Linked DNA regions of Lepisosteus oculatus. The main gene of each other region encodes a partner of the protein of the gene in region 2 in a complex. Links are inferred from orthologs where the notes say so. Each region holds a gene or a part of one and is shown on either strand. Other genes may lie near its edges.

Region 1 (7,565 bases), on a different chromosome or scaffold from region 2:
AGCTCCAGTGCCAATATGAATATTTTATCTTTGGCTTCCAGGTTAAGACAGATTTGAGACTAAAGTCACGTCAGAACAGATCTTTTGCTTTCCTGATCAGGGTTTGTAATATGGTGTCTTGTACAGCAGACAGTGGCATTTTTCATCACTGCACTGTCATCTGAGCTTCGGGGACAAAAACGTCATATCAAGGAGATAAATAGGGCTTCCAACACTGGGATGAATGTGCTTGAGTGGCTGCTTCTAGATAATGGATGTGAAATTCTCACCCATTCATTGAGGGCCACAGACTCCAGATTTTATTGCACTTCAGATATTGATTGCTTACCTTATTTGTTTAAAGAAACTGAAATTAATTCACTTCCGGTAAGGCTCTCTCCCTCCGAAGTCCCCCTCCTCTACCAGTGCATGTCAGTGATCTGGCCAGCAACTAATTCTGTATTTCTCACAAGCAGATTATATTATATAGCATACTAGCATGACAACATATATTTATTAATCTAAACTTGCTTTCATGCAACATATATGTTGCATCTGAGGTTGGACTGGGACTATGGTGTTTGGCACAGTTAGTAGCACCTGAAAGGTCATGCCAAAAGCCTGCTCTCCCAGAATCCCCTCTGATCTCTCCAAGATCTCTGATTGCGCACAAGAACCCAGACAAGCAACATCACACTCTCAGACTTATTATACATTGTAAGGCCAGTTACAGGAAATAAAGACGTGCACACACTTTACTACAGATGACCAGGTGGTTTAGTCAAAATCATGGCACTGGTAAGGCTGGGGGTGTGAGCCTTATTTGGGGAAAAACAACATCTGGAGATTACAGTAACAGGACAATTTTGCATGCTTTACATTAGTTAAACTAAATTGATTATTTCATTTCTCCATGTATGCTTTCCTGATCTCACTGCAGAACAATTCGTCAACTGCACTTTCACATTTCTACACTTGTCAGCGCCACAAGGGAACTGAACTAATAACTTTAACCCCACTGCACCACCCCTGTGTGAAGACGGAATTCTTTCTTCCACAACACAAATCCAAAACACCCTAAAAATCAAGATTGTGAGTTCCCCCACTTGCACGAACAGGAGATATCTAAACAAGAGGCTGCATTGAGAAAAGTCTTCAGTAAAGAACACAGACCTATAGGCAAAACCTGAACTTTTCGTGTCAAATACACGAGTCTCAGCAGTTTCTGAAGAGCGTTGCTGCTGCTCTCCTGCAGGTCCGATAAATCGCACTCTTCAGTACCGGATAAGAGCGCAACATAACCTCGCCTTCCCCTTTAGACTAAGGCTCCGTTAATAGCAGAGCCCGGAGCTAAGAGTTTGCGTTTAGGAAAGTTTCGCTGTCAGCAATACTTCAGCAAACTTAAGGAACTACCACACCCTCGCCAGATTCGGGTTTCAAGACGAGATCGAACTGACAAGCAAGAAGGGAACTCCATGACAGCGCCAGTTCGAGCAACAGAGATACTCCCTAACCCACAGCACTGGTCGCAAAGCTTGCGCACAGCGCTCTTTCGCAATGCAAGCCAGTTTTTAAAAATCGCAGCGGTAGCCGTTTCCCTTTGATTAAAATCTCTTAAGAACCACCTGTGAGAAGTGACTCCATACATTTTCGTTTCACAAGTAATATTTAACTCGCTTTCCGTTATTCCCAATACGCAACCAAAACTGCTCTCAAGGGGAACTAACCCCATTTCTAACTAAGCACAGCGCAGTCCACGTTTGAAGACATCAATACAGCTTACAAATAAGGGAGTGTCTGTGGCTGTCCTTAGAATTATACATTTCTAAAGGTGAAGGTACTGTCCCATTTTCTGTGCACCACAGACTGCGCTCAGCACTTCACAACTAATATTTTATAAACATAAAAATCCCCAAGTATTCACTAATTTGGCAGCATAGCGCATAATTGCACACCTCTCAAATACAGTATGTCAGTTACAAAGTAGAACTCATTTACGGTTTTCGTGGCGTCAACTCAATTACCAGCTACCACTTAGTTCAGGTGTTATACGGGAAGATTTTATTTTGGAAGAGCTATGTCTGTCCATGCAAACTAGATTGCTACGTTTTACAGCACGTTTCCCCATCTAGAATCGAAATACCACCTACCTGTTTTGGTACGCAAAACTGACAATTGGGTCTCGACAGTAAGTTTGTCTTTGTTTTCAGTCTTATTTGAATATTCCAATTTGATTACTTTTGCGCAATAGGCGGCTTCATTTGATAAGAATATTCAAAGCAATGACTAAAACAAATCGAGAGAGAGAGAAAAGAGTCGACAATTTTTTTTTTAAATATACAGTATCGATATCAACCCAGTTACTTGGCACTAGGGAGGGGGACCTCTTTGAAACAGGAAGTCGTTTGCAAAATCTAACCTGATTTACCAGCTACTTAACACCAAAACAGGCCCTAACGAGGAACTCAAATATACAAGTTCGCCAATAGCTGTTGACTATGAAAAGGCATACCACAGTGTTCCTGAAACAACGCGATCGCCCGAGCATAGGACATTTTACAAAATATATTAGATACTGTTCTCCATAATCCGGATTCAAAGACGGAACTAACTTGGCTTCATTCCTGTCAAGTACAGTTAAACCACACTTTTAGCCTAATCTAAGAAGACTGCAACGACATGTAAAATATAACACAGTGAAGTGGGTACAAACCTGTCTCACATTTTATAAAACCTCAAGATTATTATTTTTTTAAATAATGAATCATTTTAAATGATCATGCAGCGGAGCAGCTGAAAACACAATTTTGCATGGTTGAAAAAAGTAGGAAGTGCGCGGAGATGTTGGGAGAATCGACTCTGGGGCTTTTTACGTCTCCAAAAAACGTAATCTGCAAAATGGTTGCCCACAATTAAATTAAAAACATTTAAAACCAGCTCCCTACCTTCTCCTCATCAGTAAGCTGCTCCTCAAAGTCGGCCATCTTGGCTCCTCTGGACCAGCCCCAGTATGCGCTGCATCATGGGAAACACACAAGCCGTCTGCAGTCTTATTATTTTTAAATATGGCCTCTTCAAACACATCAAAAAGGTAAAAAGGGGGGTGCTACTGCCGACTATTGGTCATTCTGCCGATTAATACATCTTAAAAGTCTGAAATTGACGCTTAATATTTACACCTTTTCACTTTAATTTATCGTCGTAATTTTTGGTATAGTAATACATTTGTTTCAGGTGTTAACTTGTACAGTGCTTTCAGAGTTTACTAATCATCTTTGTACTGTATGTTTTATATTTAGGTGTTTGTGTTTTATTGGTGTATTAACTGACAATTCTCTTCCTCTGTGTTTTGCATTTTTTAAATCATTTTCAATTTTATAGATCAATGAAGCTTTTAGCAAATAATTATTTTAATAACTTTATTTTATATAACATCTTTAATGGCACAATCTCAAGAGTTATATAATAAAATAATCAAACAAAAGAGACAGGTGTGCAGAAGTTGTGACAATATTAAAAACTGGAGTATGAAAGTGGGTTTTATGACAGGATTTCAAAGTGTTGACTTGCATGCAAGATTGGATAGGAGGTCATCCACAGCCTTGGAGCAACAGAACAGAACTCCCAGTCTCCCAGTTTTTGGAGTCTTGTATTGGGAACTGAAAGAAGGCCAGAGATTCAAGAGCTTAAACAAGGTGCAATGGGAGACCTCTAAGGAAAGCTGAGATGCGCCTTTAAGTGGCTTTGGTCAACCAGTAGGTGTCACCCTTTCCCCTGGTCCATAAATTCCAAACCAATGCTTCAGTATAGTTTCCTCCAAGGACCGGCTGGTACTGTAGGTTAATTGACTTGTGTAAAACTGACCCTGGTGTGATTATATGTGCATGCCCATGTCTATGTGTGCCCTGTTCATGGTGTATTCCGCCAGGAGTCCAGTGCTCCTCAGGATAGGCTCCAGTCCAACCTCAGATCCTGAACAGGATGAGTGGTGATTGATGGTGATGCCAGAGTATACTGTGCTGGAGAAGGAGTCACTCTTTAGATGAGAAATTAAACAGGGGATGATGGCTTCATCATTGTAAGATCCATGTTTGAAAGTGTAGGGCTGTTAAACCTGGTTTGAAGGCTATACTCCACTCTGGGGCCAGTCTAGCCTACCTGACATTTTCAGGTGGTGACGCAGTCTCCTGTGTAGTGGGACTGCCCAGATATGATGGCCTATATGTCACACCGGCGGATGAAGTGTGTTCTTATGTAAAGCGCTTTGCAATCCTTTAAGATTGAAAATATGAAGGAAATGAAATTAGTTCAAATTTAGGCTAAATGTACTAACGTACATCCATTCATTTTCAGGGTTCTCAGGGGAGTCGGAATCTGGTCCAGCAAGCAACGAGCACAAGCCATGGTATGCAAAGACATGGCAAACTCTGGGGTTTTCCCCAGAAGCCGATAAGCCTGTCAGTATGGTTTTGGATTGTGGAGCACCTGGAAGAAATCCACATGAACACGTACAGGCAGCAATCTAGGTCCAGAATTAAACCCAGGGCCCCAGTGCCAAGCACTGCCACCCTACCGACATACTATTCTGCACAAATCTTAAGTGGACAACTATGATGTATAGTGGATTATGCTATAACTTATAGGTGTCCTTAAAAGTTACTTATACATGAAAATGGCTATTTACCTACAGACTGTTACATTGATGACTTCCCTCCCCCGCTCCCCAATAAACACCATCACAGACACAAATAATTGTATTCAAAAATCCAGATATGTACTATAGAATTCTCCTCTTTTGCCAGTTTAATCTTGTTAGCTTTTTATGGTTGTATAAGTATGGTTGTATAAGTAGGCATACATTGAAAATGTTTTTCAAATGTTTAATGGTATTTGGTAATTGAATGATTGAAGGGAGATGACTATCACTCATATCTATAATATGCCATCAGCCCAAGAAAGCCAACATCTCACTATTTGTAAAACGCAAAACATTTGAAGGACACTTTCAAATACATTTTAAATCCTAAGTAAGTGTCCCTTTTCATTTGATCAAAATTAAACCAAAATGTTAAGGTCATTTATTTTGAATATTAGCAATCCAGTTAAATGTAAATACTATTTCTGCCATATCTCATCTGAACTGTCTTCAGAGCCATAAAATTAAATCTTTTAACGTTTACATCATAAACATTAAAACCAGTTTATTTTATTTTATATAGTTATGATAATAAATGTGCAATATTTTGTATCATTAGTACAATCAGCATTATTGTTGGGAACAAAACCAGGCTGGACAGAGAATATACTGGGACAGTAACATACATTATGGTTTCTCATCCAAGATAAATATTTATTTTCTATAAATGCTTAAATCTAAAATAAGGGGCACTGTAAATTAAAAAGAGGTGAAAACGCCTCCCAGGCGTCTCTAGGCCCACAGCTGCAAACGCCTGACGTTCACCATTTAAAATTAAATAAATATATGACGCTTTAGTGACTCCACACATTGGCTGTAGCAATTCTTATCAGCTAACAGTACTGCAGAGGACAGTCCTCCACTATCCCATAGTTCCTGTGTTTATATTTTTTCTGGGTAAACATGGCGGATGCAAACAACAGTAGCTCATCGTCTCCCGGATTTACGGAGAAATTAAAATCCTGGCTCTCGTGGTCTTGGACTTATTTATGGGTCCTTTGGTTTGCTATGCTGTTGGCTCTAGTCTACATTCTCCGGAGCCCCCTGAAGCTACAGGAAAACCTCGCTACAGGTAAAAACTGTTGAATCAGATGATAAGGGGAGCTATCTGGAACTGACAGGTTTCAGTTCGAGCCGAGGGAAATTTGCAAACAGTTACTTTTATACGATCCGGGTGGAGTGTGCAACTGTATTTCTGCGTCCTTTAAGCAGCCCCAGTACGGAGAGGTGTTTATGTCTGACTGTCAACTTCACGTTTGCATGAAAGGAGATTTTGGTACCGGTCTGTACTCCCTTATGGACACACTGCCTTATGACAGTTCGACCGATGTTCCTCTACATCGGAAATCGTTGCTTTTCCAGGCCTTTTCTACTTTTCGTAAAGTGAAAAAGACAGTAAGCGCCATTCTCACGTTAATTCATTCTATTGTAAACACGTAACCCAACTAACTAGCCCATTATATACAAATGGTCATCATATTTCTAACATACTAACTTGCAAATAGGGATAGAACTATCTTAAAGTATTCTCAGTATGACACCTCTTGAAAACGTCATTTGTTGTGTGTATTAGTGTGTGATGCACAAAAAGTGTCCATGTAAACCTTTTTCTTCATCAGTGTGTAACTCGTATCACTCCTAACACACTTGTACTCATCTACCACACTGCTTCATAGCTATGAACAGTATGTCAAACAAGATATTTAAAAGCTACAGAATTGCACAGAGATATTGCATTTGGATTGGTCCTTACATTATGATCTATCATAAAAATAAATAATAATCTTTGATCCAAATTTAATTTCATTGAGTGAAATAAAAACAAATCAATCTTTTGTATAAGCCAATCTTAAATTCATGCCTGTATGATTTGTAGAGGACAAAATATAAGATTTTGGTACAGAATACTTTAAAAGTTGGCCTATATAATGGAATAGAAAGTCCTAGTACACATTAGAGCTATCACTATACCTTGGTACCAGAAGGCATTGTGGTATGTATCTGTTAAAAAGAACTACAGGATTACATCTAAGGATCTACAGAAGGTACTTATACAAATGCACTGATGAACGTATAAAGTAGAATAGTTTTATATTATTATATATGTATGTTTTTTTTATTTATTTATAAATATCCAGCATACTATGATGCCTTTATGAAAGTCGTTAACCCGTAAACTTGAAATGTTTCAAGCTCCTCCTCAGTGGGAGTCTTGTCGTTTTCCCTAAATCACCCTTTCCCTTGTACATTTCTGTACTGACCTCATAACTAAAAATAAAGAGAAGAAAGTACATCATGTGATATTAGTCTTTCTGCAGAAAGTACCTCCTGAATATACTGGTCTTGGGTGAAAACAGAACAAAAATCCAGTAGAGTGGGAATGTTAAGCACTGAAATGCCTGCAGTTTAAGGTGAACACCTTGCTAATCAGCCTTTTTCTTTCCAGTGTCTGTGTTCCTGAACACTCTTACCCCCAAGTTCTATGTTGCGCTTACTGGAACCTCATCACTCATTTCTGGACTCATTTTGGTGAGCGCTATCTGCTGCTTTAGACAAAAATGAATTGGTCTTTCAGTTTATTAACAATATTTTACTTGCATTGTTGCTCTCAGAAATTGATGCTTAATAATTCAAACAGAAAATGATGAAACTGTAGAATGGATTATCACCATACAACCGGCAAAGTTTGTTAATATGAAAGATTAGCTTAAGACCTTTTTATGATTAATTATGCATTTGTTCTTGTAGTGTTTTGTATTGTAAACATAATTCCCTTAGCAGATATAATTACTGCATCTTGTATTCCTTTTGCTGTTCATATTCTTTGCCATGTAAACAACTTGAAATGTCCAGCATATTATGATGCCTTGTGTAATTTATAGGATCAAAA
Region 2 (7,234 bases):
TCAGTAAATACTGTGTAAAAGGGTAAAAGCATAAATTCATTGTACCACACATGCCAAAATTGTCTGTAATTAAATCTTATTAGAAACTCCTCAAACCCATAAAGGTTAGGAGAAGTAAATTGTTATATATTCTGCTTCACTTTTGTTAACTTGGATTTGTACTTGTATTTGGCAAGTACTGGTGCCTACTCGTCTTCTTGGTGCTCAAAGAACTCATGGCAACAGATGGTCACCATGGTGATGAAGGTCATGAATTCCTGGAAGTCACACTCAGAATCGCCATCTGTGTCCAGACTCTCTATTAAACTGTCCATCGTGGCCTGGTCTTTGATTTGCTGAAATAATAAAGAGGAATGCTATATCAACATTATGATCTTGATCTCATTTCAACCCTTTGTCTTGATGACTGCTTTAACCTAATTAATTAAAAAGAAAACTTGGGTGTGTTACAAATTCAATCATTGTAAAGGTATTTCACACTCTTTAAAGGATTACATGTTTTTTTTTTTAATTATACATTGTAATACTGTATTTCTTGTAGCTTATATGTACAGTAAATAATGTAGATTATTTACCCATGGCTTGTATTCATTGTTAGCATTAAAACCTTTCTCATTTTAGTGCCTGTAAGTTATTGTTCCAAGATTTCCTTTAAAATAATGTACAGGATAAAATAGCCTATGGTATAGATGAGATACAGTAGTTAACACTGTGCTGCAATAATATAGAATTATTTTCACTTAAAAACTAAATTTTAATGATTCAACATTTCATTTTATATTTCCTAGTTATAAAATAAAGCAATAATCCTCAGGATATAATTACACAATGTGTTTTTCCACAAGTTCATATAATAATATCAGTTTCCACAAAACATTTTTATATAGGCTGAAAACTGAAATACATTTTTCATTACTAGAAAATAAAAGAAAAAGTATTTCAATTAAATGGTGTATTTCTATATTTTACTGTCCAGACAAACAGATTGTTTTTCAAGAAAACTTTTTATGACTATGGCTTTTGCAAAAACACTTAATAAAAATGTGAAAACAATTATTCTCACCCCCACATAATTTGATAGTTCATTGTTGATCAGTTCTTTCAGTTCACTTTTCTTCAGTTTATGCTTATCGCCTTCTTTTTCTGAATACTTGTGAAATACATCAATAATGGTTGCCAGAGAATTTTCTAAATCAGTCATATTTAAAGCAGGGCCTAAATCTTAAATGAAACAAAAAAAAATAGTTTTACTCCAAAACACATACAATAATGGGATTACAGTGTCCTAAGGTCTTAAATTAACAGAAATGCTGTTCTACAGTACATGTTCATGCAAATTTAGATTTAAATTGTTGACAAAGATGTGAGTTATGCACACAATTAAACAATCTGTTGACTATATTGAATACATGAGCATACTGGACCTTGGTGCTGATGGATTTCAGAAAAACTTTTTTCTCCCTGAAATATCATCTAAATGTGAGCGCTTGGAAGTTCATTTTACACTGTATGTGAGTATAACTTTCTTTTACTTCTACTTCTGATCGTAATTCTTAAAAATCTACTCATGATTTTTCAATCGTGATTAAATTAAATGGTATTTTAATTTACCATTAACCACTATTTCTTCAAATAATCATATATCATGGCACAATTTTATTTAGAAAACTGTTCCCATGAACATTATTACAGATCAGCGTCAGATGCCAAAGATGAAACATCTAGGTTCCAACTTGAGTAAATCCTGCTTTTTTGTAGAGATTCCTTGTTGTGGCTCTCAAAAATATAAAACATATTCTGTGAATTTCTTTTACATTTTACTTAATTTTAATCTATTGAACCGATATTTTAGCCATCTCTCACTGAAACTGAATGATTTTTTGTTGGTCTACTGAGTTTTTCAGTATAGAAAGAAATGCCCATACTGTTGAAAAGGTCATGTAATGTTGAATACTGTTCAATTGAGAAGGTCATGTTCTAGTATGTATTTCAAGAACTGAACTAAATAATATCCTTTAGCTATCCCTATAGATCAAAAGAAACAAACTCACTTAGAATCATTGTCCAGTAAGTGATATGTCAATCATTAATTGTCTGGAAATGATGGCATTTCTTATCTTTAAAAAAGACTGCTCATAGAGTTATGAATGCATTTATCCTTTTAAGTTTGACTTCCTAGCTGTTCAACAAGGCAGGCTTTCTTTTCTGAATTAGAAACTTGAGGAAATTCAACTGTTTGCAGCATACCGGTGTGAATTTATATTTAAAAAAATGACTAAGATTGCAGTACTTTCACATACAGTAGTGAAATCACTGCAGACCACGAGATACACAAGAATAACAAAAAAGTAATAGAAATACACCAGAACAGGGAAGGGGGCATATCATGTGTGAAATAATATATAAAGTATACTGTTTTGTTTGCTTGGTTCATATATTTATATACAGTATAATGTAAAGCATATTTAACATGGTTATATGATATGAAATATTTTTCAAATCTATCCAAAATCCAGAATAGTAAGATTTGAAATATAAATAGCATTAAAGAGAATTATTACTTGAAATCCCAATCTTTTACATAAAATATTTGTTAAAGTTGCTTAAAGCACATTTAATTTTGAAGGTATACTTTTTTACCTGTTCTTTGTCTTCTAACAACAGGTGATAAATATCTACAAAACAAGTCCTACAGAATAGAAGCTTCCTGAATGTAGTATCGTTATATTTAATTAAACTAATTAAGGTAAACCTAGAAACCTATCTATATAAATCTAAAAGCTAAAGTGAAAAGTAAAATTAACGTGTGAGACAAATTAGGAAGAAAAGTTGCCTTTCAACTTATTTTCAGCATGACTTTGTTACTTTTTATTTTTTAAGTAAACCATCTGCAAAAAACAATCTTAGACAAAAAATCACTTACCTCCTTGTAGATGATTTGAAAAGTTTAAGAAACTAAATTCCAAAACAGAAGTAGTGTCTTTTTATACGCTGGGCGTGGAGAGTTGCCATAGCAACTGTAGCCCTTTTGCCTCATTTTGAATCATGTGGCTCGTCTGAAACAATCACCCTTTATTCTGCCATGGGACAGTGACAAAAATTTACCATTTTGATCTTTTGCATTGTAGTTATCATTAAAGGGTTTTTGTTTCTTCCTTTCTGTTTTATAAGGCACAGTACTGAACTCATTGTCTGGTTAATTAATGCCTTGTGATGGTAATATAACGTATTTAATCAGGAACAACTTGAACAGATTATTTTCAAGAAGGAAATTTCAGTAATCTTGAACCTCCTATATTGAACCTACTTTGTGTATCTTACAGTAAATATATAATGATTATTTAATATGATAATATTATCATATAGAGTGTACTGTAAATAAGCTTCAAATGCATTTCAATTACTATCAGCTCTTAAAGAGAATTACATTTTAATTGCAAATAAATAGTATGACACAGGTACTGTATATGCATATGTTCATACAGTAACAGTGTTATAATAGTATCAAGATTATATTTATATTATATTAATTATATTAGGACATTTCTGGATCATTTTCAAAGTTAAAGTTTAAAAATAATATTTTAGGGTACAGTATGTATTATTAAATGATACTAGCTTCTGTAATGGCAAAGTGGATTACACTATTTTGGGAAAAGTAAATAACTTAGTCAAAAGATACAAAAACATTAATGTTTAAAGTGCTTCTCTTATTATTATTATTGATCATGTTGCTAAATCAGTAGAAGAAATTTGGAAACCACATGATTTTCGAAGGAAACTGAGAAAACCTGAATTAAAAAAGGATAATTACAAACATTAGAGTACAGATATTGACCCGAAAAAGAAATGAAATTGAAATGAAATGAAAGTCTAATGCATCCAAATATAGATATCAAATCAAAGAGCAGAAAACACATCAAATGAACATAAGAAACATGGCACATGGGGCCCTGTAAAAAACAATATAGAAAAGTTACAAAAGAGTGGAGGCCTTTTAGCCTATCTGGCCTGCTTGTCGTTTGTCTGCTTGATCAGAGGATTTCATCCATCCAGTTTGTAAAAGAAGACAAGTTATCACCTGCAACAATATTCTGGGGTAGATTGTTCCAGACATCCACATACTGTACGTTTCTCCTGTTCTCAGGATTATATGTTTTTAAATGTACTTCCCTTTAGTTTCCATTTTTATCCACTGGTTCATAACTCATTGTTGAAGTCCCCTGAGGTTAATTTCTCGGTATCTTTTAGGAGTTTGACTACTATGAATTATTAAGAAAGGTTACAAACGATTACCACTTGCCTCGTTTGGTAGAAGCTAATTGATCCAATGATTCCAGCCATTTTTTGAAAGAACCCAGGGTGGCTTCTGGTAACTGGCCGGGTAGCTTGTTTCATACCTCCACAACCCTTTGGGTAAAGAAGTGCCCCTTGTTATGGATTTCAAATACATGTTTTAAAAAGAATTATTTTTAGTTTCACAGTCATCTCTGATCAGGACTAAAACGATTTTCAGATTCGAATTTCTGATTGTCAGGGAAAACATTTAAAGCTCGGAATGTTTCTCACTCACCCTTTTTTCATTTTTCAACATCTTTTTTGTAACATGGTGACTAAAATTCTGCATAATATTCTAAATGAGGTGATATTACAAAATTAATGTTGGCTATGACCACCTTTATCATCGGCATAATTTTGTCAATCCTGGACCTGGGATGCCATCTGCATGGAGTTTGACACATGGATGTCTCTAGTTTGTGGGATTGTGATGTAGCAGACCCAACCCTGATGTAAGGAACTGATGCATTAAAATATTACATAATTATTTCTCACCTTGTTTTATAATGAATATTGTGGATATTATCATATGAAGTAATGTACATATTGTTCTGTAAAATCTAAAAGGTAAATGTTCACTTACCTGATGGGGTTATAAAGATGGCAGTGGAAGTTTATTGTGATTTGTGCTTTAACGAAGGCAATTAGGGTGGCATGTTAATTGGCTTCTGGGAAAATTGAGTGTATCTGTGTATCTTCCCTATTTTACACTGGCATCCCAGCCTTGTGTTCACTGCTTGCTGAAGATCCCCCATGACCCTGAATTGGATGAAATGGTTAGAAAATGGATGGATGGATAACGAAATTGAAAACGTTTCCTTTTTACAGTAGTTTGTTAATGAAAATGAGCACATTTGCTCTGTGAAATGCATTGCCTCTAAGCAAAAAAAAATTGCACATTCATTTGTGAAAAAAACAGTATATTCTTAATAATTGTAATTGGGTTTGAAAGAATAAGCCTAACAAACAACTGAAGTTTATGGTGTTCTCATCCAGATGTAATGCCACTTTGGTGAACAGCAGTTACAGTACCTTAACATTAGCCATTAGGTACAGTATCTACACATTATCTTCTGGTTCCATCTGGTTCTTCAAGCAGAAACATGTAGTATACCTACCTACAGAAACATAACAGTTACCTGTTAACACCACCACTTCTCCACTTCTGCCAGCAGCCATATCACTCTGCAACTCACAACTAGCAACCCACTGAACCCGCTAAGCATGTATGAGCCTGGTCAGTACCTGGATGGGGGACCTCCTGGGAAAAACTAAGTTTGCTACTGGAAGAGGTGTTAGTGGGGCCAGCAGGGGGTGCTCACCTTGTGGTCTATGTGGGCCCTAATGCCCCAGTATAGTGATGGGGACATTATACTGTAAACAGGTGCTGTCATTTGGATGAGATGTAAAACCGAGGTCTCTGTGGTCATTAAAAATCCCAGGGTGTTTCTCAAAAAGAGTAGTGGTGTAACCCTGGCGTCCTGGCCAAATTTCCCATTGGCCCTTACCAATCATGACCTCCTAATAATTCCCATCTATGAATTGGCTTCATTATTCTGCTCTCCTCCCCACTGATAGCTGGTGTGTGGTGAGCGTTCTGGCCATTGCATCATCCAGGTGGATGCTGCATATTGGTGGAGGGAAGTCCCCATTATCTGTAAAGTGCTTTGAGTGGAGTGTCCAGAAAAGTGCTATATAAGTGTAAGCAATTATTATTATTATTATTATTATTATTACTTCTTGTTCCACAACCATTGATGTTATCAAAGTCACAAATGATGGCAATTTTCTCTTGACTATCAACATTACCCCTGCACATTAGCTCGACTTGATGTATAGCTTCTTCGCAAGCCACAGTTATTCTGCTAATGCACAAGTTATTTATTCCTGGAATTTTTTATGCTGCAGCTACAATTATTATGCAGATGTATGGCAAGGTCCTGGACTGTTGTGATCACCTTCAGCTTTCCAGGACATTGTCTGTTCTTCCTGGACTTCCATCGTTTCAGTTGATTCCTGAAACATAACATTTCAATCTCTAGGCAACTTTTACACACAAGCAGTCTTCAATCATGCCAATAGTAACAGGTGATCTTCACATACAAGTGAGACATGGTGGAGCAAGCTGAACTTCAGTGTATAAATAAATGATGGATGTTGCACACAATGTGTAAATGACTGAAAAATTGCAGCATAATATTTAATGCAAAGTTGTTTCTGTCATGTGCCCTCAGATATGTCTTAATTTAATATTTTTTGCATGGATCTTTGTTTACTTTGACTTCCATTTTCCCATTTATTTCCAATTTGCTTTTTCAGAATTTATGGTGGATTTTATAGCAACAAAGTAAAGTATATGTACAGTACTTGCAACCATAGTACTGTATATGTTTTGATATTTCATACTTACCAACCCCCTTCTAATTTGTTCCCTTGATTGTTAAATGGAACCTTTAGTTATGTTCTATATGTGCGTGGGATGAATATGATATTACTCATTCTTCTTCATTAACCCTGGTCTCTGACATCTCCCTGTTCTTACGTTCTGTAAATAGATAAGCATTTCCTCATTATAAATTTACTGAAAGCATGGATAAGATAGGTGTCCCAGAAGTACATCTTAGCCCTAATCCTTGTTTTATCTAAGTAGATGTGTGCAATTGTAGGCTAATTAAGCAACTGATCAACAGCTGAGATACTGTATGCTAGGTTTTGCTGAGGACCTTTTCTCTTAGAATTATGCCAAAGCCTTTAGCAATCACTTTCTCCCACAATGATACAGTATACCACATATGACAATAGGCCAATTATTGATGAGGAATGACAGAACAACATTTTTCTTACTGCAAAAAATGTGCATGGCAAATTATAAACTATTTAACATAGAATGTTGAGG

The links. The genes of interacting proteins can lie anywhere in the genome.
Region 1: the proteins of s100b (region 2) and F-actin-capping protein subunit alpha-1 are in contact, whole or in part, in an NMR structure (PDB 1MQ1), measured with the Homo sapiens proteins. The link is inferred for Lepisosteus oculatus from reciprocal best matches to the Homo sapiens genes S100B and CAPZA1. Residues at the interface, in NP_006263.1 of Homo sapiens: Glu46, Glu47, Lys49, Val53, Lys56, Val57, Thr60, Phe77, Met80, Val81, Ala84, Cys85, Glu87; in NP_006126.1 of Homo sapiens: Thr265, Arg266, Ile269, Asp270, Trp271, Asn272, Lys273, Ile274, Leu275.

What each region holds. Positions count from the first base shown.
Region 1 is NC_090700.1:31,502,349-31,509,913, forward strand, and holds the start of F-actin-capping protein subunit alpha-1, read right to left. Parts: upstream 3,022-7,565; 5' UTR 2,964-3,021; coding exon 2,925-2,963; intron 1-2,924. Other genes in the region: st7l (suppressor of tumorigenicity 7 protein-like), read left to right, coding at 5,579-5,747, 7,122-7,204. UniProt on the Homo sapiens protein: F-actin-capping proteins bind in a Ca(2+)-independent manner to the fast growing ends of actin filaments (barbed end) thereby blocking the exchange of subunits at these ends.
Region 2 is NC_090707.1:31,131,603-31,138,836, forward strand, and holds the start of s100b (protein S100-B), read right to left. Parts: upstream 3,009-7,234; 5' UTR 2,924-3,008; intron 1,222-2,923; 5' UTR 1,202-1,221; coding exon 1,064-1,201; intron 336-1,063; coding exon 186-335; 3' UTR 1-185. UniProt on the Homo sapiens protein: Small zinc- and- and calcium-binding protein that is highly expressed in astrocytes and constitutes one of the most abundant soluble proteins in brain.